2 linked regions of the Macaca mulatta genome follow. The protein of the gene in region 1 purifies or fractionates together with the protein of each later gene. This does not show direct contact. Links are inferred from orthologs where the notes say so. Each region holds a gene or a part of one and is shown on either strand. Other genes may lie near its edges.

Region 1 (11,514 bases):
ATAGAAGACATGTCAAAATAAAGCCTCTTTAGGCACTAATAAAGGTACTCTTCACTACTGATATTACTGAAGATTCCTGAATACCAACTTTCCAAATAAGCTGACACCAGCCAGAAGCAGTTTCTCATGCCTGTAATCCCAGCACTTTGCGAGGCCGAGGTAGGGGTATCACTTGAGCCCAGGAGTTTGAGACCAGCCTGGGCAACATGGCGAGACCCCATCTCTACAAAAACATTTTCTAAAAAATTAGCCGGGCATGATGGTGTATGCCTGTGGTCCCAGCTACTCGGGAGACTGTGGTGAGAGGGTTGTTGAGCCCAGCAGGTCGAGGCTGCAGTGAGCTGTGGTCATGCCTCTGCACTGCAGCCTGGGTGACAGAGTGAGACTCTGTCTCAAAAAACAAACAAGCCAAACACCATTGCCACCAGGAGACACTTGTCAGGCTGTGGAATGGATCAGGATTTCTAGGACTTTTTGGTTCAGAAGCAGATGACTTTAGTGAAAGCAGATGGGTAGAGATTCCAAGATAATTAGAACAAGAATTACTTAGCAGAGACTGAATACAACTGATGGAAAAATTTAATTCTGGCTAATGATCTATTTTCTACTAGAAAGGAGAAAACATTCTTTCCTTTTTTTTGCTCCATCTCTACCCCTCAGTTTAACACATGATAAACATTGAAATGAAACACTCTGACAATGGTATCTTATTCCAATTACCTTCAGGAGGAAAAAAAATCCAAAAAAGATCTTAATAGAGACTACAAGATACCAAATCATTAGGAAACCTTAGAACAATAATTCCATAGGAAATATCATATGTTGATTAACCTCATCTGCAGAAGTGCTCAGAACAATGGGTAAGTACCACACAAAGGCCTTTTCTTTCCATGACAAAATATTTATACAGGTTCAGTGAGTCTGCTGGGGCTGGGTGTGGCGGCTCATGCTCCTAATCCCAGCATGCTGGGAGGCTGAGATGGAAGGATCACTTGAACCCAAGAATTTGAGACCACAATGGACGACATAGTGAGACTCTGTCTCTATTTTATAACAATTTAAAAAATAAAAAATAAAAGAAGCTGCCCTCCTCCTTATCACGATATACATGGATAGATCAAATTTACAGCCAAGGTCATGCCCAAAACATCACATTTAGATTCAAATCTCATTTAAATTAGGTATGATACGGCCAGGCACGGTTGCTCACGTCTGTAATCCTAGCACTCTGGGAGGCCGAGGCTGGCGGATCCCGAGGTCAGGAGATTGAGACCATCCTGGCTCACATGGTGAAAGGCTGTCTCTACTAAAAATACAAAAAAATTAGCCGGGCATGGTGGCGGGCGCCTCTAGTCCCAGCTACTCGGGAGGCTGAGGCAGGAGAATGGCGTAAACCCGGCAGGCGGAGCTTGCAGTGAGCCGAGATTGCGCCACCGCACTCCAGCCTGGGCGAAAGAGCAAGCCTCCATCTCAAAAAAATAAATAAATAAATAAATAAAATAAACTAGGTATGATAAGTCATTATGAAGGGGAGGAGATTGCTTCATATGTGGACATGCAGCCCACAAGTCCTCCCAGGAAACTTCTTTGGCTTAGGGAATCCCAGCCTTGTACAAAGTACAGATGTCATTTCCTGACAGGCCAGAAACACTGACTACCCTGAGGATCACAGGTAAGAGGCACAGGACGACAGGATAGGTTTTGCCAGTGAAACTTGATAGGGATGAAATGAATCATTCTTGGGTCCTAACAGACAAACTAACAAAGACCATAAAAATACTCCCAGCACATAGAACAATCAAAGCATGATTCCAAGGCTTTTCAAAACTTCCAGGAGGAAGCGAATTCCAAAGGTGCAGGATCATATGGCTCCAGTTTGTCAACCATACAACAAAAAGTCTTGTGTATTAATCAACATCACCTATTACACAAAAGTAAATAAAACTGGCCAAAGAAATAAGACGTTAAATTAATATACTGAACCAATAAACTGCTGAACGAAATTTAGGTGAGCAGCTCTGTGCCTCTAGGGAGGGAATTCTCCCCATGAGGAGGCTGGGAAAGCAATCGCTTTGCTCTGCCACCATTAAGACCAAGCACATCACATACCACAATCAGAAACAAAAACAAAAACATCATCTTATATCCTGAGACTTTCTTTAAGGGAATACTCTATTTAACAGTATCCCCATAAAATGAATGAAACCATGAGCCCCATCTGTAAATACTGAATCCCAATGAAACTAACTTTGTCCCTCAAATTTGCTATGCTGAAGTCTGTGGATATGGGATGATCAAGGAGGTGGAGGTTGCAGTGACCCGAGATTGTTCCATTGCACTCCAGCCTGGGCGACAGAGCGAGACTCCATCTCAAAAAAAAAAAAAAAAAAAGAGAAAGAAAAGAAAATACTTCTTTTACTGCTTTTGTCTGTGAGTCCATCTTTTACAATCCTGCCCTGCTTTATAAACCTTGTGACATTGCTTTTATTGAAGTTAGGATACATTATTCATCCTTAACTACCATTAAGTCTTCCTGAGTTTGTATTTCAGACTCTCTGACTGCACTACAGACATCTTGACCCGCCAAACCACACTTTTTATTTCTTTGTACATCCCACAGAATCCAGCATGACACTTTATAAAAGCAGATGTCAATAAGGGTTTAGCTAACTGATGGGCTGATACATCAGCTCTGTATCTCCATGATTCATGTTTTCCTGAAAACTAATTTTTAAAAGACAAATTGCTCCAGGCCATCATTAATCTTTTCCTGAGATACTTTCATACATTTAGATGCTCTGAAAAAATGTTGCCCACATAGCATTTTGTGTCTTTACATTTCTTCAGGTACACATACCAACATAATCTCTGTTAAAATAATCCTTGAAATTCACTACCTAAACCTACATATTACTCTAGTTTGTTTCTTCAAATAGAAAGTATGGTGTCTCACATCTGTACTCCCAGCACTCTAGGAGGCCGAGGCGGACGCATCATTTGAGGCCAGTAGTTCAAGACCAGCCTGGACAACATGGCGAAACCCCGTCTCTACCAAAAATACAAGTGGTATTTGTATTGTATTTTACTATCTCAACTAAAAATTCCTATTAATTGTATTGTATTTTAGTGTCTCTACTAAAAATACAAGTGGCATGGTGGCGGGCGCCTGTAGTCCCAGCTACTTGGGAGGCTGAGGCATGAAAATCGCTTGCACTTGGGAGGCAGAGGTTGCAGTGAGCCGAGATCGCGTGACTGCACTCCAGCCTGGGCAACAGAGACACACTCTGTCTCAAAAACAAAAAAAAGAAAAGAAAAGAAAGGAAAAGAAACTATACCTACACAATTTAAGAGAGTCAAATCATTCTACGCATCTTATTACAAAACCCAGCATTCCCTGCCACTGCCCACCTCATCACTCCCTAGATGAAATCTTTTCCATTCATTTAACTGTTTCTTTTTTGTTGTTGTTTTTTGCTTTCTTTTTTTTGAGATGGAGTCTCACTCTGTCACTCAGGCTGGAGTGCAATGGCATGATCTCGGTTCACTGCAACCTCTGCCTCCTGGGTTCAAGCGATTCTCCTGCCTCAGCCTCCCAAGTAGCTGGGATTATTGGTGTGCGCCACCATGCCTGGCTAATTTTGTATTTTTAGTAGAGACGGGGTTTCACCATGTTGGCCAGGCTAGTCTCAAACCCCTGGCCTCAAGTGATCTGCCGGACTTGGCCTCCCAAAGTGCTGGGATTACAGGCGTGAGTCACCATGTCTGGCTGAATCCGAATTCTTTACTGCAACTTACAAGCCCCTGCCTGACACAATCCTAAGTACTCTACACTCTAATTTGATACCGCTCTTCTCCCCACTGTACTCCAGCCACACCACGCCACCTTCCTTCGCTTGTTCACAACGACAGTCATTTCCCTGGGGCCTGACCCTCAGTGTGGGACGCTCTTTTCACCACTCTGCACTGATGGCTCCATGGTTCCTTTAAACCTTCAGACCGCAGCTCCTTGGAGGCCTTCCTAACACACCTCAATTCCTCTCTTAAGATTCTCCCTCTCTGTTCTCCCTGCCCCCACATCGTTTTTGTTTGCTTGTGAATATTTATTTGAAATTATTTAATATCCCCCCCCACTCAGTTGTAAGCTCCATGCAGGGAAGGAATGTGTGGGCACTGTGCCTAAGAGGAGTTGGACACATAGAGGAATAAATGAAGAAATATCCATCCCTCTGATCCACGCTGGAGTACTGTATATAAACTACTTCTATTGCAATAGAAATTTCATCCTGGACCAGGCGCCATGGCTCACACCTGTAATCCCAGCAATCTGGGAGGCCGAGGCAGGCATATCACCTGAGGTCAGGAGTTCGAGACCAGCCTGGCCAACATGGTGAAACTTCATCTCTACTAAAAGTACAAAAATTTAGCTGGGCATGATAGCAGGCACCTATAATCCCAGCTACTTGGGAGGCTGAGGGAGGAGAAGTTTGAACCCGGGAGGCAAAGGTTGCCGTGAGCCGAGATCGCACCACTGCACTCCAGCCTGGGCGACAAGAGTGAGACTCCATCCCAAAAAAAAAAAAAAAAAGATTTCATCCTGTTATGAAATGCAAGGGCTTTTCAGAAGCTTGGAATGGACTCAAAATGCCTTTGAAATTTCTGCTTAGAAATGAGAAGCTGAAACTTCATTCCAAGTCTGATGCTGTGGACAAATTAAATTACAGGATCTTTCAGACAGTGATAGGAAGAGAGAGAGAAATGCATACTCACCGATCCCTTTGTGAGGGTCAGGAGGACAGGAGACAAACTTCAACACTTCGGCTCGCTTCTCTCTCAGACCCCAACGGTAGAGGATTTCCCCATAGCATTTCTTAAAGTCATCAAATTGCTGGGTGTTGGCGGGGTCCAGGAGCCTAGAGAAAGTGAAAAAGATTTCCTGTCAGTTCCTTTAAGAAAAAATGAGCTTGATCCTAAATGGCACTTAACATGCCCTTCTTAAAGCAACAGTCCTGGCCAGGCACGGTGGCTCACACCTGTCACTCCCCGCACTTTTGGAGGCCGAGGCTGGCAGATCACTTGAGGTCAGGAGTTTGAGACCAGCCTGGCCAACATGGTGAAACTCTGTCTCTACTAAAAATACAAAAAATTAGCTGGGCATGGTGGCATGTGCCTGTAATCCCAGCTACTCAGGAGGCTGAGGCAGGAGAATCACTTGAGCCTGGGAAGCAGAGGTTGCAGTGAGCTGAGATTCCGCCACTGCACTCCAACCTGGCGACAGAGTAAGACTCTGTGTCCAAAAAAAAAAAAAAAAAAAAAAGGCGCAAGAGTTGTGATTGTGGAGAAACTGGAGTCCTGGCATCGCAGCTCTCACCTGGGAGGGTGGTTACCTTTTATTTTTATCATGCTGGTCGCGTTCCCGCTCCCGGGGATCACTGCAGGTCAGACTCCCAAAGCGGAGCTCTTCCGGTGAGGATTCTCCCCAGGGGGAGGACAAGTGCTCTACCTCTCTCCCCGCTAAAGAAAATCAAATGCGAAGGGAAGATGGCAATCAGAGAAGGCATGGAAAATATCTGAAGTCTCATAAGACCGCGTGTGGCCAATGGATTTCCCAGAAGAAAAGTAAGTGAGGCTGAATACTCTGAGAAATGTAACTAAACAGAACTCTTTCCTACCCTTACCTTTTTGCCCAGGTATTTATTACTAAGAGAACCTGATAGCTAAGTACACACACATGATGCTAAAGCAAATGATGGGCTGGGCATGGTGGCTCATGCCTGGAATCCCAGCACTTTGGGAGGCCGAGGCGGGCAGATCACCTGAAGTCAGAGGTTTGAGACCAGCCTGACGAACATGGTGAAACCCATCTCTACTAAAAAAAAAAAAATACAAAAATTAGCTGGGCATACTAGCACGTGACTGTAATCCCAGCTACTCGGGAGGCTGAGGCAGGAGAATTGCTTGAACCTGGGAGGTGGAGGGTGCAGTGGGTCAAGATCACGCCATTGCACTCCAGCCTGGGCAACACAGCAAGACTCCATCTCAAAAAACTAACTAACTAAATAAATAAATAAAGCAAATGATGGCACAGAGATATAGTGGAATGTTATGTAGTCATTATTTACAAAGACTTTTTGAACAATATTTGCTCATGATTTAATAAAAAATAGAACACAAAGTCACATATATGGAATGACCACACTCCTGCACACAAAGAATGGATGGAAATGTTCTAGAACGTTAATGGACGCTATTCCTAGGTGGGAGATCAACGATTACAATTTTCTTCTCTAATACTTCGTGTTTGCTTTTCTTCACTGGGCATGAGCTACTTTTGAAATCAGGAAAATTAAGATCATTTTAAAAAACTGTTTCTTAAAAAAATTCCAGGAAATACAAATACACCTACTCCGCAAATAGCTTTATGATCAGCTGGAGTCAGATCCAGCTGTATTTGTCTACACTGAAAGCGTTTGTGGGAAGGAGTAGGCGGCAGATGAACATGGAAAGGGCATGTGAAGGAGAAAGGATAAGGGTTGGATTTTGGGGGTGAACAGCGGGAAGTCCCATTGTCAGTTTCTCAAGGTTATGAGATGAAAAGCAATACAGCAAAAGGCACAAAGACCCCCAGAACGTGGCCTGTTCAACCTGCAAAGCCAGGCCTCCAGCAAGAGGATCCCTATCACAGTACATGTAAAGAGAAATAAGAAACAAGAAAAAATATGGAGACTAAGCATCAACTAAAGCTTACATATGCACAGCTATCAGAGAACTAAAAATCCGGCGTGGGCTAAGTCATTTCCATACAAACCTATGTTCCAGCCGCCAGTGCTGAGCCCTGGGTCTGACATACTGGAGCACGAACCGGAAGAGGTAAAGCTAGGCTACAGATGGAAAGAGAAGAACCAACAGGACTAGCATCAGAATACTGTTCCCCATGACAGTTCACATTAAGAAAACAGCAGGCCAAGCGCGGTGGCTCATGCCTGTAATCCTAGCACTTTGGGAGGCCAAGGAAGGCAGAACACCTGAGGTCAGGGGATCGAGACCAGCCTGCTCAACATGGTGAAACCTCATCTCTACTAAAAATACAAAAATATACTGGGATTGGTGGTGCATGCCTGTAATCCCAGCTATTCAGGAGGCTGAGGCACGAGAATTGTTTGAACCCAGGAGGCAGAGGTTGCAGTGAGCTGAGATCGTGCCACTGCACTCCAGCCTGGACAATAGAGTAAAACTCCATCTAAAAAAAAAAAAAATCAGACAAAACCAGAAAAGGACAAACTTACATATCGACTATGGGACACCACAAGATTAGAAGAACGGTTGGGAAAAGGCCCAAAGGGGTTTGGTATCCCCTGAGGCCGAGACTGGGCTTCGAACACGCTACAGAGCATTGCCAGTGTCTGGACATCCCGGAGCCGGCAATAGTGAGCCAACCTGAGGAAAAGGTGAGAGGAAAGAAGACAAGTCAGGAGGAGGGACTGAGGGGGAACACGATCACAGTCATGGCGTGTTACTGTCACGGGGTGGGATGCGAGGATTCTTGATTTGGCCTCAAAAACCGTCAGGAATGAGGGCTTTCTACAGATCCAGTGGTTTGACCTACTTTGAGTTTGCCTAAACTTGTTTTGGAATATAAGACATCGACGTATTACAAATGATCTACAGAACGCATCTCAAAGCCTCTGGCTAACACTCAGGCATGGGCTTAAACATGAATTGGCTTCTCCAAGAATTAAGTGGACTAACCTGACATCTGAACGAGCCAATACACGCTCTCTGTCCTCCCAGCTCCAAGGAAGAATCACACTGCTTTTGGGGGATTCCCATACATGCCATTTATATAACCTAAAGCTACATGGAGGAGCCCAGAGGACACTGGACCACCACAGTATGCTAGCAGGCAATCGACTTTGGAGGTGCAGTTATGAAGATGAGCTATTAGGTAAGAACAACAAGGAGTGTTTCTACTCTTTAGGTACTCATATCCCCTTTGTCCTTTCAGGAAGATTAGGCTAGAATGTGAGTAAGGAATCAGAGGGGCTTTGCCTTTAAGAATGAATAATATTACTGTCTTCCTATCACTCAATGTCTAATATTTGTGTTTTCACACTCACTATCTTATTTGAGTCTTACACGAAGTAGGTAGAGCAAACCTTATCATCCCTATGTTAGCGACAAGGAAACGGAAGCATGAACACGTGTCCCAGGGGTGGCCTTAATGCATAAATAAAACCTCAACCTGAAGGCAGGAGCGTTTCTCTCCCCAGGCCCTGGGCCTCCAAGTTATGGAGATTCAAATGGTTTTACTTCGTGTTAAATTATATTGTATAGTATATTCCAGTTTGCCACATGTCAGTGCAATAAACTGAACACAAAGGCAGTGTTTTCTCGAATTGCCTAACAGGGTGAAAGTGTCGTGGTCTCTGGCAAACATGAACACCAACACACAGTTCTCAAAGGTGAGACCCTAGAGCTTTCAAGAAGAAACTTACCATATCATGAGCTCAAACTCCTGTGTTCAGACTGACGTGATCTGTGGACTAACGCATGAATCTCTAAAGGATACATGAGTCTCAGGGGTCTCAAATCCTTGTCATAAATGACAAGTATTGTATAGTTCTGTCTGCTGTAAGAAGTTTGTTCTGCACAGAAATTATTTCAGCACTGAAAGGAAAGATCCTACTCCTTCCTTTCATTCCTCGGGCCTCTGCACCTTTCTCTTAGGTGATGACATTTCAAGTGTTCACAGACCAAAAACGGACATCACTCATTTTTCTCACTTTTAGCTCTCATAACCTACAGGGACTCCAGCAGCTGCCGCCCAAATGGATGTCGAGCCCAGGGTGTTTCCAAATCTGGGTCAGATTTCGGACCAAGGCAAAGATCTGTAGCTACCGTAGCCAGCGACCAAACCTGGACAGATCAAAGAGAAATACAAACTCAAACTGGCAAGGACAAGAACCGAAACCGTGAAGCAACCCCATCTGTCTTCCATATAAAACCCGATGCCTTGCTACTCTGGGGGCAGCAAAAGCTGGAACCTTATTGAAATGCAGAAGTTTAGGTCCCAGTTAGTTCTACTGAATCAGCGTTTACATTTTCACCAACTCCTTCGGGGAGTTAAGCGCACTCTAAAGTTTGAGAAACACTAGGCTTAAAAACTTCTCATTAAAAGCAAGCTTCAGAGAAATGACACAGTGTAATAATTTCAATGGGTCATCTACTTAACCACTAACTCACATGACCTTTTATTTTATTTTACTTTTTTGAGACAGAGTCTCGCTCTGTCGTCCAAGCTGGAGTGCCGTGGCACGGTCACGGCTCACTGCAACCTCTGCCTCGTGGGTTCAAGCCACCCTCCTGCCTCAGCCTCCCGAGTATCTAGGATTACAGGCATGCGCCACCACACCTGGCTAATTTTTGTATTTTTAGTAGAGATGGGTTTTTGCCATGTTGGCCAGGCTGGTCTGGAACTCCTGGACTCAAGTGATACGCCCACCTCAGCCCCAAAAAGTGCTGGGATTACAGGTGTGAGTCACTGTGCCTAACCTCACATGACTTTTTAAAATGCTGCTTCATCAGTAAGTGGGGTTGGCAGGGAGGAAAAAAAAGACAGTCTGTAACACATTTAAGATCTGTCCTTCTTTACCTGAATAATGAAAGACTTTGTTGCCTTCATTATAAAAGTTTCAGTATCCTCTCTGAAGCTAAAATGTAAGAATAATAAAAATAGGCCAAGACAAAATGGATTTGGCTTTCTTTTTGTTGACATCAAATCTGAGGAATATCTCCCGACTTGAAATCCCATGGGGCCTGGAGCCATCGAGCAGAAACCAATAGCCACTAAGTGTCTATTTAAGTCCAAGGCATAGGCTACACCCATCATGTCATAAGCAAAGCCCCCACCCCCACAATACCTTTAAAAATCAAATACAGCGGACCCCGTGGCTCACGCTTGTAATCCCAGCACTTTGGGAGGACAAGGAGGGCAAATCACGAGGTCAGGAGTTCGAGACCAGCCTGGCCAATATGGTGAAACCCCGTCTCTACTAAAAATACAAAATTAGCTGGGCGTGGCGGCACACGCCTGTAGTCCCAGTTACTTGTGAGGCTAAGGCAGAAGAATCGCTTGAACCCAGGAGGCAGAGGTTGCAGTGAGCCAAGATTGTGCCACTGCACTCCAGCCTGGGCGACAGAGTGAGACTCCGTCTCGGAAAAAAAAAAAAATCAAATACTATTGTCTGGAAAACCTTTCTTAGTAGCAGCACATCACTGTATACCCATTAACTGGAAAACATTATACTAGACTCTGAGATACTCAAAAGAAAGAAGATATGGACTTTGAATCAAGGAGTTTGCAATCTTAAGGAGAAAGAATAGGCAAACAAAGACACTGAGAAACAGGTAGAGAAGCATTAGGCATGCAAAATCAATTAAATCATGTAGCACTAACATAGTTGAAAAATATATAGAAGGTATTATCGAAAAGGAGAAACCTGAAGTTCACATTCATCTCTATAATCAATGACCTAGTGAATCAGTACTAAAGGAAGTTGATGACTTTCTGGGATAAGATAAGATGTTTACTACCCTGGCTAAAAATTTAGGCATGTTATTTCCTCACTGATAATATACATTTCCTAAATGTCCTTAACAGAAACAGTGACTCTTGCATTTACTTCTGCAACTCTTTGCAAAATAGTAAACATATCTTCAACACAAGCATAAAGAACAAAAAGGCTAGGTGTGGTGGCTCATGCCTGTAATCCCAACACTTTGGGAGGCCAAGGCAGAAGGATCGCTTGTAGCCAGGAGTTCAAGACTAGCCTGGCCAACATGATGAAACCCAATCTCTACTAAAAAATACAAAAATTAGCTGGTCTTGGTGGCATACATCTATAACCCCAGCTACTCGGGAGGCTGAGGCAGGAAAATCACTTGAACCCGGGAGGCAGAGGTTGCAGTGAGCCGAGATCATGCCACTGCACTCTAGCCTGGGTGACAGAGTGAGACTCCATCACAAAAAAATAAAAACAAAACAAAACCACTGAATGGTATATTTTAAATGAGTAAATTGCATGGTAGATGGGCTATATCTCAGTTAAGCTGTTTTAAAAAATACAGAGATAGTTTGTTATAATACACTGATATGTTGCTGCAAAGATGAAGAAAATTTAAATATTTGTCATGTTAAATCATATTTTAAAACTGAACATCTCTACCTAAAGGAACACTTTGGTAAATATTTCATAAAATGAAGCATTTTAGAAAAAAAAAAGAATTGAGGGTGCAAATGGCAAAGAAATGGACACGCAAGTTTAGCTACACAGCAATCACCGTGATACTGGAACAGAAAAGAGATGTATAATAAAAAAAAAAAAATTAATCAATGCTTTAGGATCTTCCCAACTAAGCACCAGGAAGAAAAATTTCCAGATTTGGAAAGGCACTCTAACCCTGCAGACTGGCAAAGAAAACGGAAAAGGAATTCCAAATCAAGACACACACTGTGAA
Region 2 (11,514 bases), on another chromosome or scaffold:
GCAGAAGGATCACCTGAGCCCAGGAGTTGGAGGGTGCAGTGAGCTGAGATCACTCCACTACACTCCAGCCTGGGCGACAGAGTAAGACTCTTGTCTTTTAAAAAAAAAAAAAAAAATTGCCGAACACGGTGGCTCAAGTTGTAATCCCCAGCTCTTTGGGAGGCCGAGGTGGGCAGATCACAAGGTCAGGAGATCAAGACCATCCTGGCTAAAAGGGTGAAATCCCATCTCTACTAAAAATACAAAAAATTACCTGGGCATGGTGGCGGGCACCTGTAATCCCTCCCAGCTACTCAGGAGGCTGAGGCAGGGAGAATTGCTTGAACCTGGGAGGCGGAGGTTGCAGTGAGCAGAGACTGCACCACTGCACTCCAGCCTGGGCAACAGAGCGAGACTCCGTCTCAAAAATCAATCAATTAATTAATTAATTTAAAAAAAAAAAAAAAAGCTGGGCATGGGTGGCTCATGCCTGTAACCCCAGCACTTTGGGATGCTGAGGCGGGCAGATCACCTGAAATGAGAAGTTCGAGACCAGCCTGGCCAACATGGAGAAACCCCATCTCTACTAAAAATACAAAATTAGCCGGGCATGGTGGCACATGCCTGTAATCCCAGTTACTCAGGAGGCTGAGGCGGGAGAATCACTTGAATCCGGGAGGCAGAGGTTGCAGTGAGCCAAGATCACGCCATTGCACTCCAGCCTGGGCAACAAGAGTGAAACACCATCTCAAAAAAGAAAAGAAAAGATAAGAAGGAGATAACTGATAACAATAAGAACAGATAGTATAATGGATAATTTTTATTTTATTTTATTTTTTGCTGTGTTGCCCAGGCTGGAGTGCAGTGGTGCAATCATGGCTCACTATAGCCTTGAGCTCTTGGACACAAGTGATCCTCCTGTCTCAGCCTCTAGAATACCTGAGACTATAGGCATGTACCACCTCACTCAGCTAATTTTTATTTTTTTGTAGAGATAGGTCTTAATTATGTTGCCCAGGCTGAGGCACAAACTCCTGGCCTCATGTAATCCTCCTGCTACAGCCTCCCAAAATGCTGGGATTGCAGGTGTGAGCCACTGCACCCAGCCTTTATTTTCTTTTTTGTTATCTGTGTTTTTCAATTTTATTTATTTTGAGATAGCGTCTTGCTCTGTTGCCCAGGCTGGAGCACAGTGGCATGATCTCAGCTCACTGAAACCTCTGCCTCCCGGGCTCAAGGGATCCTCCTGCCTCAGCTTCCCAAGTAGCTGGACCTACAGGAGTCAATAATAAATTAGTCAATTTTTGTTATTTTTTGTAGAGATGGGGTTTCACCATGTAGTTCAGGTTGGTCTCGAACTCCTGGACTCCAGTGATCCACCCGCATCAGTCTCCCAAAGCGCTGGGGTTATAGGTGTAGGTCACCACTCCCAGCTGAGAGTTTTTATTTTAAATAAAAAATTAATTGTTCAAGCCACCACTCCCAGCTGTTTTATTTTAAATAAACAATTAATTGTTCTACATATATGCTTGACAAGTAATTTCACATCTAGGATTTATCTACAAGGACTTATGCATAGATGCGTACATGGTGTTTGTAATAGTGAAAATCTGCAAACAACCTAAATATCCAATAATAGGGAAATGACTGAATGATCACAATACATCCATGCTCACAGATACCATGCAGTGGTTAAAAGCATAAAACAGGCTGAGTACAGTGGTTCATGCTTGCAATCCCAGCACTTTGGGAAGCCGAGGCAGGAGAATTGCTTGAGCCCAGGACTTCAAGACCAGCCTGGGCAATAGAGCAAGACCCTGTCTCTTTAAAAAAAAATAATAATAATAATAAAATATCTATTCGTGCTGATAAGGTAGTTCCCAGATAGAGAAAATTACAGGACATGTCAAATCTGATCCCATCACCTTACAAAAATCAGAAAAGATTTAACAAGCAAAAAGATGAAAATGTAATTCATCATATAATAGTATGCAGAGATATCACCACTAAACAGTATTTTAGTGTATAGCCTTCCATACATTTTCCATGCATGCACAAACTGTTTAATATACAAAAGAACATAAAGAAGATTTCTGTTGGTAATTAGCTTTCTTTTCTCTCAATACAATCTGAATATTTTCCCACGGAAATACAAATAGACATCTATTTTTTTTTTTTTTTTGAGACAGGGTCTTGCTCTGTCGTCCAGACTGAAGTACAGTGGTATAATGATGGCTCATTGAAGCTTTGACCTCCTGAGCTCAAGAGATCCTCCCACCTCAGCCTTCCAAGTAGCTGAGACTATAGGTGCATGCCACCACACAGGCAAATGTTTTAATTTTTTGTAGAGATGGAGGTTGCATTATGTTGCCCAGGCTAGTCTTGAACTCCTGTTTCTCAAGCAATCCTTTCACAATGCCCTCCCAAAGTGCGGGATTACAGGCATGAGCCACCAAGCCTGGCCTCTATTGTAATTTTTTTTTTTTTTTTTTGAGACAGAGTCTTGCTCTGTCACCCAGGCTGGAGGAGTGCAGTGGCGCGATCCTGGCTTACTTTAGCCTCTGCCTCCTGGGTTCAAGCGATTCTCCTGCCTCAGCCTCTTGAGTAGCTGGGATTACAAATGCGTACCACCACACCCAGCTAATTTTTGTATTTTTTAGTAGAACAGGGTTTCACCATGTTGGTCAGGCTGGTCTCGAACTCCTAATCTCATGACCTGCCTGCCTTGGCTTCCCAAAGTGCTGGGATTACAAGCGTGAGCCACTGCGCCCGGCCTATTGTAATTTGTAATAGCTGCATAATATTTCACTGAATAGATGTATCATTATTTAAAGTCCCCTACTGAGCATTTATGTTATCCTTATTTATTATGAGAGAAGAATTACTACTTGGAATGGAAATACAAACACAACTCTCTCTACATATATATATATAGTGTGTATGTGTATATGTATGTATATGTGTATATACGTGTGTGTGTGTATATATATGTACATACATATCAAACAATAGTTACCTCTGGGAGTGCAATTAAAGAGTTTCATTTACAACGTTCAAACAATGAGTACTATCATCTTTCAAAATCACAATTTGATTTGAAAAATAGTATAGGCAAGAAGAAAGGAAAAGAAAAAAAACAAAAACAAAACGAAAACGGAAACAACCGTGAACCCGGAATGAAGACTCGCAGTGCACATGTGCCCCAGGTGAAGGGACATGGGCTCACCTGATACCAAAGACGCAGTGGATGTAGTTCCAGATGGCCCTGCGGAGCACGGAGGTGTCCACCCCGCTGTGCATGGCGATGGTATTGTAGGTGAGGCTATAGGCTGCCTGGAACTTCTCGTCCAGCAGCTGCCCACCCTCAGGGTAGAGCCGCTGGATCAGTGAGTAGCCATGGTCTTCCCAAGTATAATCCTTAGGTAGGTGGGAAGGGATTGGTGAGTCTTTGGAGCCCAAGACCAGCCAGAGAGACCCCCTTCCTCTGTACCTTGGATCTCCATAGTTCTCCTTCCTGGTGCCATAAACCTAATGTGCTGCTTGCTCTGGGCCTCAGATGTCAAGGAAGGTACACTTTGGTGATGACCTTCTCCTTACGATCACCAACCCCTGAGCTTAGGGTATAGATGGGTTCCTTAAGGATTCACAGGGACCCCACTGCCCTCGTGGAATCTTGAGGGAAATAACGTACCCAACTCTATTTTTTTTTTTTTTGAGACAGGGTCTTGCTGTCACCCAGGCTGGAGCGCAGTAGTGCAATCACAGCTCACTGCGTCCTTGACCTCCTAGCTCAAGTGATCCTCCCACCTCAGCCATTCAAGTAGCTGGGACTATAGGCATGCACCACCTTCCAGCTAATTTTTAAATGTCTTTGTAGGGACGGGGTTTCGCCATGTTGTCCAGGCTAGTCTCAAGCTCCTGGGCTCAAGCAATCCTCCCACCCTGGCTTCCCAAAGTGCTGGGATTACAGGTGTGAGCTACCATGCCCAGCTGGGTACCTAACTCTATAACTACTCAAACTATCCACCCACTGCATGTTCGTAAATGTGGAGCAATGGCCAAGAGTAGTAGAGAGAGCCCCACCTGGGCCCGGAAGGTTGGGGGCGCCTGAGCCCCTCTCCGGGTGAAGTCCTCATATCCAAAAGTAGGATCTTCCACAAAGCACAGCATGTCTGGGTGTGGAGAGGGCTCCAGGATGTCAGCTGAGGACCAGAAAGAGGTCACAGTGAGGCTGGGGCATGGGGCATGCAGGCGTCCACTCCTGATTAATCACCAAACGGGGGAGGGGAAGGCAGAATAGAGGGCCAAAAAAGCCCCTTGCTATAGTGAGTGGGCAAGACCTCAGCTGGAGCCCGGCCTTGTGGAGGGGGTGGATCAGGCCCATGGACCCGTGAAGTGAGGCCCCTGGTAACAATAACTTAAGTGGAAGTTATTTATGGATTGGTTCCCCCTGGGCCAGGCTCTGTGCTAAGATCTTTGCTTCTACTGCCCCACTAACCCCACATAGCAATCCTGAAGCCCTGAGATAGGAAGTGACTCGTCAGTGGTCGCACAGCCAGAAAGGCTAGCAGTTCAGGATTCAAAGCAAGGTCTGAGCTCAAGGCCCAGGCTCAGAACCTCTTGGACGGGAAGCTGAGAAGCGGCTGCCTCTAGAACACAGGAGGCAGCTCCTCCTGACCAGAGATAGCCTAAGAAGGAGCAGCCCCAGGAGCCTGGATGCCTGTGATCCTGTACCTGAGGGGGTCACCAGCAGGCTCTCTGACTTCTCCAGCTCAAAGCGGCTCTCCATCTCCTCCTGGGACGTCCCCTCATCCCGCAGCAGGCTCTCCTGCAGCTGCCGCATGCGCTCCATCAGTGCCTCCACTTCACGGGCAGACTCAAAGCCCTGCAGGAGAGGGCCAGTGGTGACCAGCTACTCCTCCTCCTTCGGCCTCTGGGAAGCTCCACACATCCTTCCCACAGGCCAGGCCTTCCTAATGCTCACAAAGGCCTAGGGCATCCCCTGTGCCAGCCACTGTGCTGGACAGCGCATGGGTCTGTGCTTCCTAAAGTGACATTTATGAAGCTACAGAATAGACACAACTTCCCTGAGAGGAAATTTTTAAAGTGTCTGTATTTTTGTATTAAAACAAACAAGGCCACATTATTCAGTGAAAGGTAAACTTTGTAGTTTGAAAGTGCTAAAACCAACAGCCTTTGAGCCTCACAGCCCAGTGTGAGTAGAGGGTCTTATCTCCCCATTTCACAGATGAGGAAACTGAGCTTCAAAGTCAAATAACTTTTCTATGGTCTCTCACAGCAGCAGGTAGTGCAGGCACCAAAGATTGGGAAGCAGTAGCTTCTACCTAAGGACCAGAGGTCATGCCTGCTTCCTCCCCGATCAAGACCCAGGCCCATGACTTACCCCAGAGTTGTTCAACGGGTCCCTGCTCGGGGGACTGCTCTGCTCACTGGGGGGTGTAGGTGCCTGGGGGGCAGGGCTGCCATCTGCATCCCCCTCAGGGAGGATGCCACAGCCAAACACAAAGGACGAGAGCGAGTGGCAGTGGGTGAGCAGGACCAGAGCCTGAATGAGCTCGGCCAGGGACCAGGTGTGCTCGCCGGTCTTCAGCAAGGCCTGGAGGGGACAGAACGGGAGGTTAGAGCTGCTCAGTGCCTGCCCTGGGCTACCCACCAGGCACCAGCCAGGCCTCTGTGCTCCCTCAGACACCCGTCTCTCTGCCCCCTGCACCTGGATGTGCTCCTTGGTGATGAGCCATGGCCGATGCGCCAGCAACTTGTTGATCTCGCTGAGCTTGCGCAGCTTCTTGGGCACCCGGTGGAGGCCCAGCAGCCACTCAGGGTCACCACCGGTCTGCAGAAACTCGGCCATGTGGGAGCCTACCAGGTAAGAACACTGATGGCGGGCGGCAGCCTGCGGAGGTAGTGGACAGAGCCTGAGTCACCCTCCTCCCTTGGTGCCTGGCTCAGGGTGGGTACCCCATCAGGGGAGAGGTTGTAGGGCTCACTGTTGCCCAAGAGGCAGGAAACCTAAGTTCTAAGTAACCCCAGCTCTGCCACCAGCTTGCAGGCCACCTGATTCCTTTTTGCACCTCAGTTTGCAAGCACTAATGATGCCTTTCTTCAAAACCTAAAATTTTCCTTCCAAGAAAAAACCAAAAACTCTACAGTTATAGAAAGCCAGGGCTTTCCCTGCTCTATGCCGCCTTCCCTCCTTGTCTATGGAATCAGTTCACAAAGCTCCCAGAAAAGAGATCAAAGGACAGAACCCTCCACAAAGCCACCTCTCCAAGTGTCAGGCCCAGAGAGGCTCACCATGATGGCAATGTAGTGGCGCCAGGAGCTGGCCAAGGGACCATCCGTGTGCAGCAGCAGGTAGTGCAGGCGCCAGAAGCTGGTAAAGTAGTCAGGGTGCAGGCCCATCACCACTGCCAGGTTGTCCACTCGCCCAGAGGACATCAGTGCCTCCAGCCCCAGGTGCTGCTCGAGGCTCTCGGTCCCCTCCCGAAGGACCTGCCAAGCAAAGGGGAGGACAGCATGGGTTTCCCTCCTGCCCCACTCATCAAAGAGACCAGCGTATTATTCCAGTGGGTTTCTAATGGCAAGAAAGTAAAAACCACCACCATGTCCAAAAAGAAACAATGGGAAGAATCAGATATTTTAATAAGTCACTCAATGAATACTTGTTACGTACCTCATATAATAACGGCCAGTACTTACACATACGATGCTATGTGCCAAGTACTGTTCAAGCATGCATATTTTAACTTATTTAACTCTCACAACAACAAAACTGGAGTTCTGTTTCTCCATTTTTAGGTAGGAAAACTCGGGTACAGAGAGTAAAAGTACGGTTTCTCCTCCCTTCATGGAGCATCTATTTTTTCTTTTTTTTTTTTTTTGAGATAGAGTCTCATTTTGTCACCCAGGCTGGAGTGCAGTGGTGCAATCTTGGCTCACTGCAAGCTCTGCCTCCCAGGTTCACACCATTCTCCTGCCTCAGCCTCCCCAGCAGCTGGGACTACAGGCACACATCGCCACACCTGGCTAATTTTTTGTATTTTTAGTAGTGATGGGGTTTCACCGTGTTAGCCAAGATGGTCTCGATCTCTTGATCTTGTGATCCACCTGCCTCAGCTTCCCAAAGTGCTGGGATTACAGGTGTGAGCCACCGCGCCCGGCAGGAGCGTCTATTCTAACACCGCAAATGCATATAACCATGGGGGCGGGTGCAAAATAGTTCACATTTCCTGAGTGCTGTCTCCATGCCATCTCTGAGCTTACGGTTTTCTCTGCATGATGTCATGGGATCTTGCCAATAAGCCTGTGAGGTGAATACTATTATTTCCCCCACTTTGCCAGATGAGGAAACCAGGACGTTTTGTTCCTTGCTCAAAGTCACAGATCTTACAAATGACAGAATCAGATTCAAATTCAGATGAACTCCAAAGCCTATTTGGTTCTTCTTTTTTAAATACAGACAGAGTCCCACTATGTTGTCCAGGCTGGTCTCGAACTCCTGGGCTCAAGTGATCCCTCTACCTTGGCGTCCCAAAGTGCTGGGATTACAGGTGTGAGCTACTGCACCTGGCTGCCTGTTTCTTTTCTTTATTATAAAAGAGTGGACCAGGCACGGTGGCTCACACCTGTAATCCCAGGACACTGGGAGGCAGAGATGGGCAGATCGCCCAAGGTCCAGAGTTCGAGACCAGCCTGATTAACATGGAGAAACCCTATCTCTACTAAAAATACAAAATTAGCTGGGCGTGGTGGCGCATGCCTGTAATCCCAGCTGCTCAGAAGGCTGAGGCAGGAGAATTGCTTGAACCTGGGAGGCAGAGGTTGCGGTGAGCCGAGATCGCGCCACTGCACTCCAGCCTGGGCAACAAGAACGAAACTTCGTCTCAAAAAAAAGAAAAAAAAAAGAGTGGTCATTTATAAATGAAAAAATAAAACACAAGAGCAATACCTGAGCTTGGAATTATGGGCCACAGACATAAATAATCAGCAAGTGGTTGTTCACCTTACATTTACCAAGGAGTGGAGGAACAGGGGGGTTTAGAGGGAGGTTAAACGTTTGTTACCTCATTAACTACTCGCCCTACACATTCAGGGAAAGCAAAGAGGAGAGGAAACAAAATTTTTCTTTTTTGAGACTGAGTCTCACTCTGTTGCCCAGGCTGAAGTGCAGTGGTGCAATCTCGGCTCACTGCAAGCTCTGCCTCCCGGGTTCACGCCATTCTCCTGCCTCAGCCTCCCAAGTAGCTGGGATTACAGGTGCCCACCACCACGCCTGGCTAATTTTTTGTATTTTTGGCAGAGATGAGGTTTCACTGTGTTAGCCAGGATGGTCTCGATCTCCTGACCTCGTGATCTGCCCGCCTCGGCCCCCCAAAGTGCTGGGATTACAGGCGTGAGCCACCGCGCCCAGTGAAACAAAAAATTTGTCCTTGTTCACTGAAGGCCAAAGAAAATGAGGAAACTAGTTTTACCTTTTTCTGCATGTTTTGAAGGTACCTCCGCTATCCCAACACACTAGAATATAAGCTCCATAATGGCAAAGATTTTTGTCTTGTTCACTGCTGTATCCCAAGCAACCAGAACAGTGCCTCACACAGATTAATCATTCAATAGATATGTTAAGTAAATGAATGAATGAACTGACTCAGTAGATGAAGGATGTCTTTCTTGTATTAAGTGAAAAACAAAAAAAAACAAGTTGTAAACTATCACCTTGGTTCTGTACTGAAAGTAAGTATTGGCTTGAACAAAGCACAGTAAACAGTGGCAAATGGTTAACAGTGATAATCTCTGGAGGGTGTAGGAAGATACAGGAGATCAGAGCTTTCTGAAACAATGGAAATTTTAAAAATAATAAACATATATTACTTTTGAAACAGAAAAGAACATGTACAGTCACGGATGAGAAGATAAACACAGATAGTTCTATCTTCTTAAGGGAAACAGGCACTGATCTAGGAATCGAAAGTTTGGCCATGCAAAAAAAAAAAAAAGTTTGGCCACTACCTGGCTATTAGCACTTGATTTCTTTCAGCCTGTTTCTTCCCAGTAAAATGAAGTTCATAGTGCCTGCTTCACAGAGCCGTTTTGTGAATTAAATGAATCAGAAATCAGAAAGGAATAGTTTAAAAGCTGTAATTTAAGGAACAAGAAAAGACGCCTGCCCACCAATATGCCATGTCCTTTCTTCCTAGGGAAAAAAGATCCCTAATCCCTTCCAAGCTTACCTCCTCCACGGGGATGAAGGCGCTGGGCCCTCGAGGGCCTCGCCGAGCCCGACTCTCCCTCTGCTCCTGGGGGGAACACATGGAGGTCAGTCCGCAGTAGAAGGGAGAATAAAGAGGATTATTACCTATCCAGCTTCTTCCTCCTATCCAAGGGGCTCCACTGAACTGTTAAACCCACCTTTCTAGCATCCTTTGGATGGCGGAGCCAGGTGGGAGATAAATGCACGTTTGGAAGGGTAAGCAAGAAAGAGGGCTCACTCCAGGCTGAGTTCTTCAGGAACTGGGCTGGGACCCAGGAATCCCAGCATGTGGGATGGGAGGGTCCTGGAGAAGGAACTATATAGCCACCATGCTGCACATCTCCAGGAGGCCACCTTCTCAGTGGTCCCAGAGAACTTATACAAGAACACCCCAGGCCGGGCGCGGTGGCTCACGCCTGTAATCCCAGCACTTTGGGAGGCCGAGGCGGGCGGATCACAAGGTCAGGAGATCGAGACCACAGTGAAACCCCGTCTCTACTAAAAATACAAAAAATTAGCCGGGCGCGGTGGCGGGCGCCTGTAGTCCCAGCTACTCAGGAGGCTGAGGCAGGAGAATGGCGTGAACCCGGGAGGCGGAGCTTGCAGTGAGCCGAGATCGCGCCACTGCACTCCAGCCTGGGCGACAGAGCGAGACTCCGTCTCAAAAAAAAAAAAAAAAAAAAAACAAGAACACCCCACAGTTTGCACCCCGAAGCCAGGTAGCCAAGTACCCCAGATGCCTCAGAAGCAGCTTCAATTTCTCTCACATGTTCATTCATTTCTTTCTTCTTCTTCTGTTTTTTTTTTTTTGAGACGGAGTATCGCTCTTGTTGCCCAGGCTGGAGTGCGATGGCGTGATCTTGGCTCACTGCAATCTCTACCTCCTGGGTCAAGCGATTCTCCTGCCTCCGCCTCCCAAGTAGCTGGGATTACAGGCATGCGCCACTGCCCTCGCCTAATTTTTTATTTTTATTTTTATTATTTTTATTTATTTATTTATTTATTTTGAGACAGAGTCTCGCTCTGTCGCCCAGGCTGGAGTGCAGTGGCCGGATCTCAGCTCACTGCAAGCTCCGCTTCCCGGGTTTATGCCATTCTCCTGCCTCAGCCTCCCGAGTAGCTGGGACTACATTAGCTGGGACTACAGGCGCCCGCCACCTAGCCCAGCTAGTTTTTGTGTATTTTTTTAGTAGAGACGGGGTTTCACCGTGTTAGCCAGGATGGTCTCGACCTCCTGATCTTGTGATCCGCCCGTCTCGGCCTCCGAAAGTGCTGGGATTACAGGCTTGAGCCACCGTGCCCGGCCATAATTTTTTATTTTTAGTAGAGACAGGGTTTCTCCATGTTGGCCAGGCTGGTCTCAAACCCCCGACCTCAGGTGATCCGCCCACCTCAGCCACCCAAAGTGCTGGGATTACAGGAATGAGCCACTGCAACTGGCCCCTTCTTCTTTAGTGATGCAGTCATAGCTTACTATAGCCTCAAACTGCTGGGCTCAATGGATCCTCCTGCCTTGGCCTCCCAAAGCACTGGGATTACAGATGAGAGCCATCATGCCTGGCTGCTTATCTGTCCTCCCACCACCAACACCTCATCAACTAACACCCTCTCTTGTCTGGACCACTACTCAGAGCCTCACCAGTTGTCCTCCGGCCTCCTCAGCCCTGGCCTTTCCTATCCATCCTCTACCCAGTAGCCACATTAACTTTCTGAATATAAATCTGATCAGCTGACTTAAAATCCTACCTCCCCTTCCCATGGGCTTCCAGATAAAATTACTGGCCCAGTCCTACTGGTCACTCCTTTTGCAAAGCTAAACCATGGCATCTAGGAACCCCTCACCTATGACCCCAAAATTCCCAGGGTTTTTGCTTCTAAAAACACTGTCATCAAATTGTCTGTTTTGTTTCCCTGCTACCAGATCACATTTAGTGGACAGCAGTGCCAGGCCATTCATACTAGCCTGTGAATGAAGACAGAGAAAGCCGAAAGGCATGGAGGGAATCCAAGCAGGGTGTCCAAGGCTGATGGAAGCAACCATTTTGACCTGTATATGCTGGAGCCTCTTTAGAAACCACTAAAATCATGTACTCACTACATCTGCTTCTCCTAGTCCTAGAGATGGGGTTCAGGAAGGATGCTCTACGTATTCATTTATTTTGTTAATCTGAGAGTGGAAGCGGCTCTCAGCACTGGCCTTGGTTACAGTTTACCCAAATCAGAGCCATGCCCTCACTGGACAGGGATAGGAGGCGCCCAGTTCTCCC

Evidence for each region.
Region 2: the proteins of WDR59 (region 1) and SESN2 purify together in Homo sapiens (affinity purification with western blotting; 4 studies listed by BioGRID and IntAct, with this or other methods). This does not show direct contact. The link is inferred for Macaca mulatta from reciprocal best matches to the Homo sapiens genes WDR59 and SESN2.

The regions. Positions count from the first base shown.
Region 1 is NC_133425.1:70,195,655-70,207,168, forward strand, and holds part of WDR59 (GATOR2 complex protein WDR59), read right to left. Parts: intron 8,914-11,514; coding exon 8,801-8,913; intron 7,435-8,800; coding exon 7,284-7,434; exon of another isoform or gene 7,220-7,283; intron 6,923-7,219; exon of another isoform or gene 6,879-6,922; coding exon 6,806-6,878; coding exon of another isoform or gene 6,802-6,805; intron 5,512-6,801; coding exon 5,385-5,511; intron 4,911-5,384; coding exon 4,768-4,910; exon of another isoform or gene 4,535-4,767; intron 1-4,534. UniProt on the Homo sapiens protein: As a component of the GATOR2 complex, functions as an activator of the amino acid-sensing branch of the mTORC1 signaling pathway. The GATOR2 complex indirectly activates mTORC1 through the inhibition of the GATOR1 subcomplex.
Region 2 is NC_133406.1:212,659,305-212,670,818, forward strand, and holds part of SESN2 (sestrin-2), read right to left. Parts: intron 9,294-11,514; coding exon 9,228-9,293; intron 6,530-9,227; exon of another isoform or gene 6,493-6,529; coding exon 6,295-6,492; intron 5,894-6,294; coding exon 5,711-5,893; intron 5,597-5,710; coding exon 5,384-5,596; intron 4,865-5,383; coding exon 4,714-4,864; intron 4,182-4,713; coding exon 4,063-4,181; intron 3,397-4,062; coding exon 3,206-3,396; exon of another isoform or gene 2,774-3,205; intron 2,174-2,773; exon of another isoform or gene 1,213-2,173; intron 327-1,212; exon of another isoform or gene 1-326. UniProt on the Homo sapiens protein: Functions as an intracellular leucine sensor that negatively regulates the mTORC1 signaling pathway through the GATOR complex. In absence of leucine, binds the GATOR subcomplex GATOR2 and prevents mTORC1 signaling.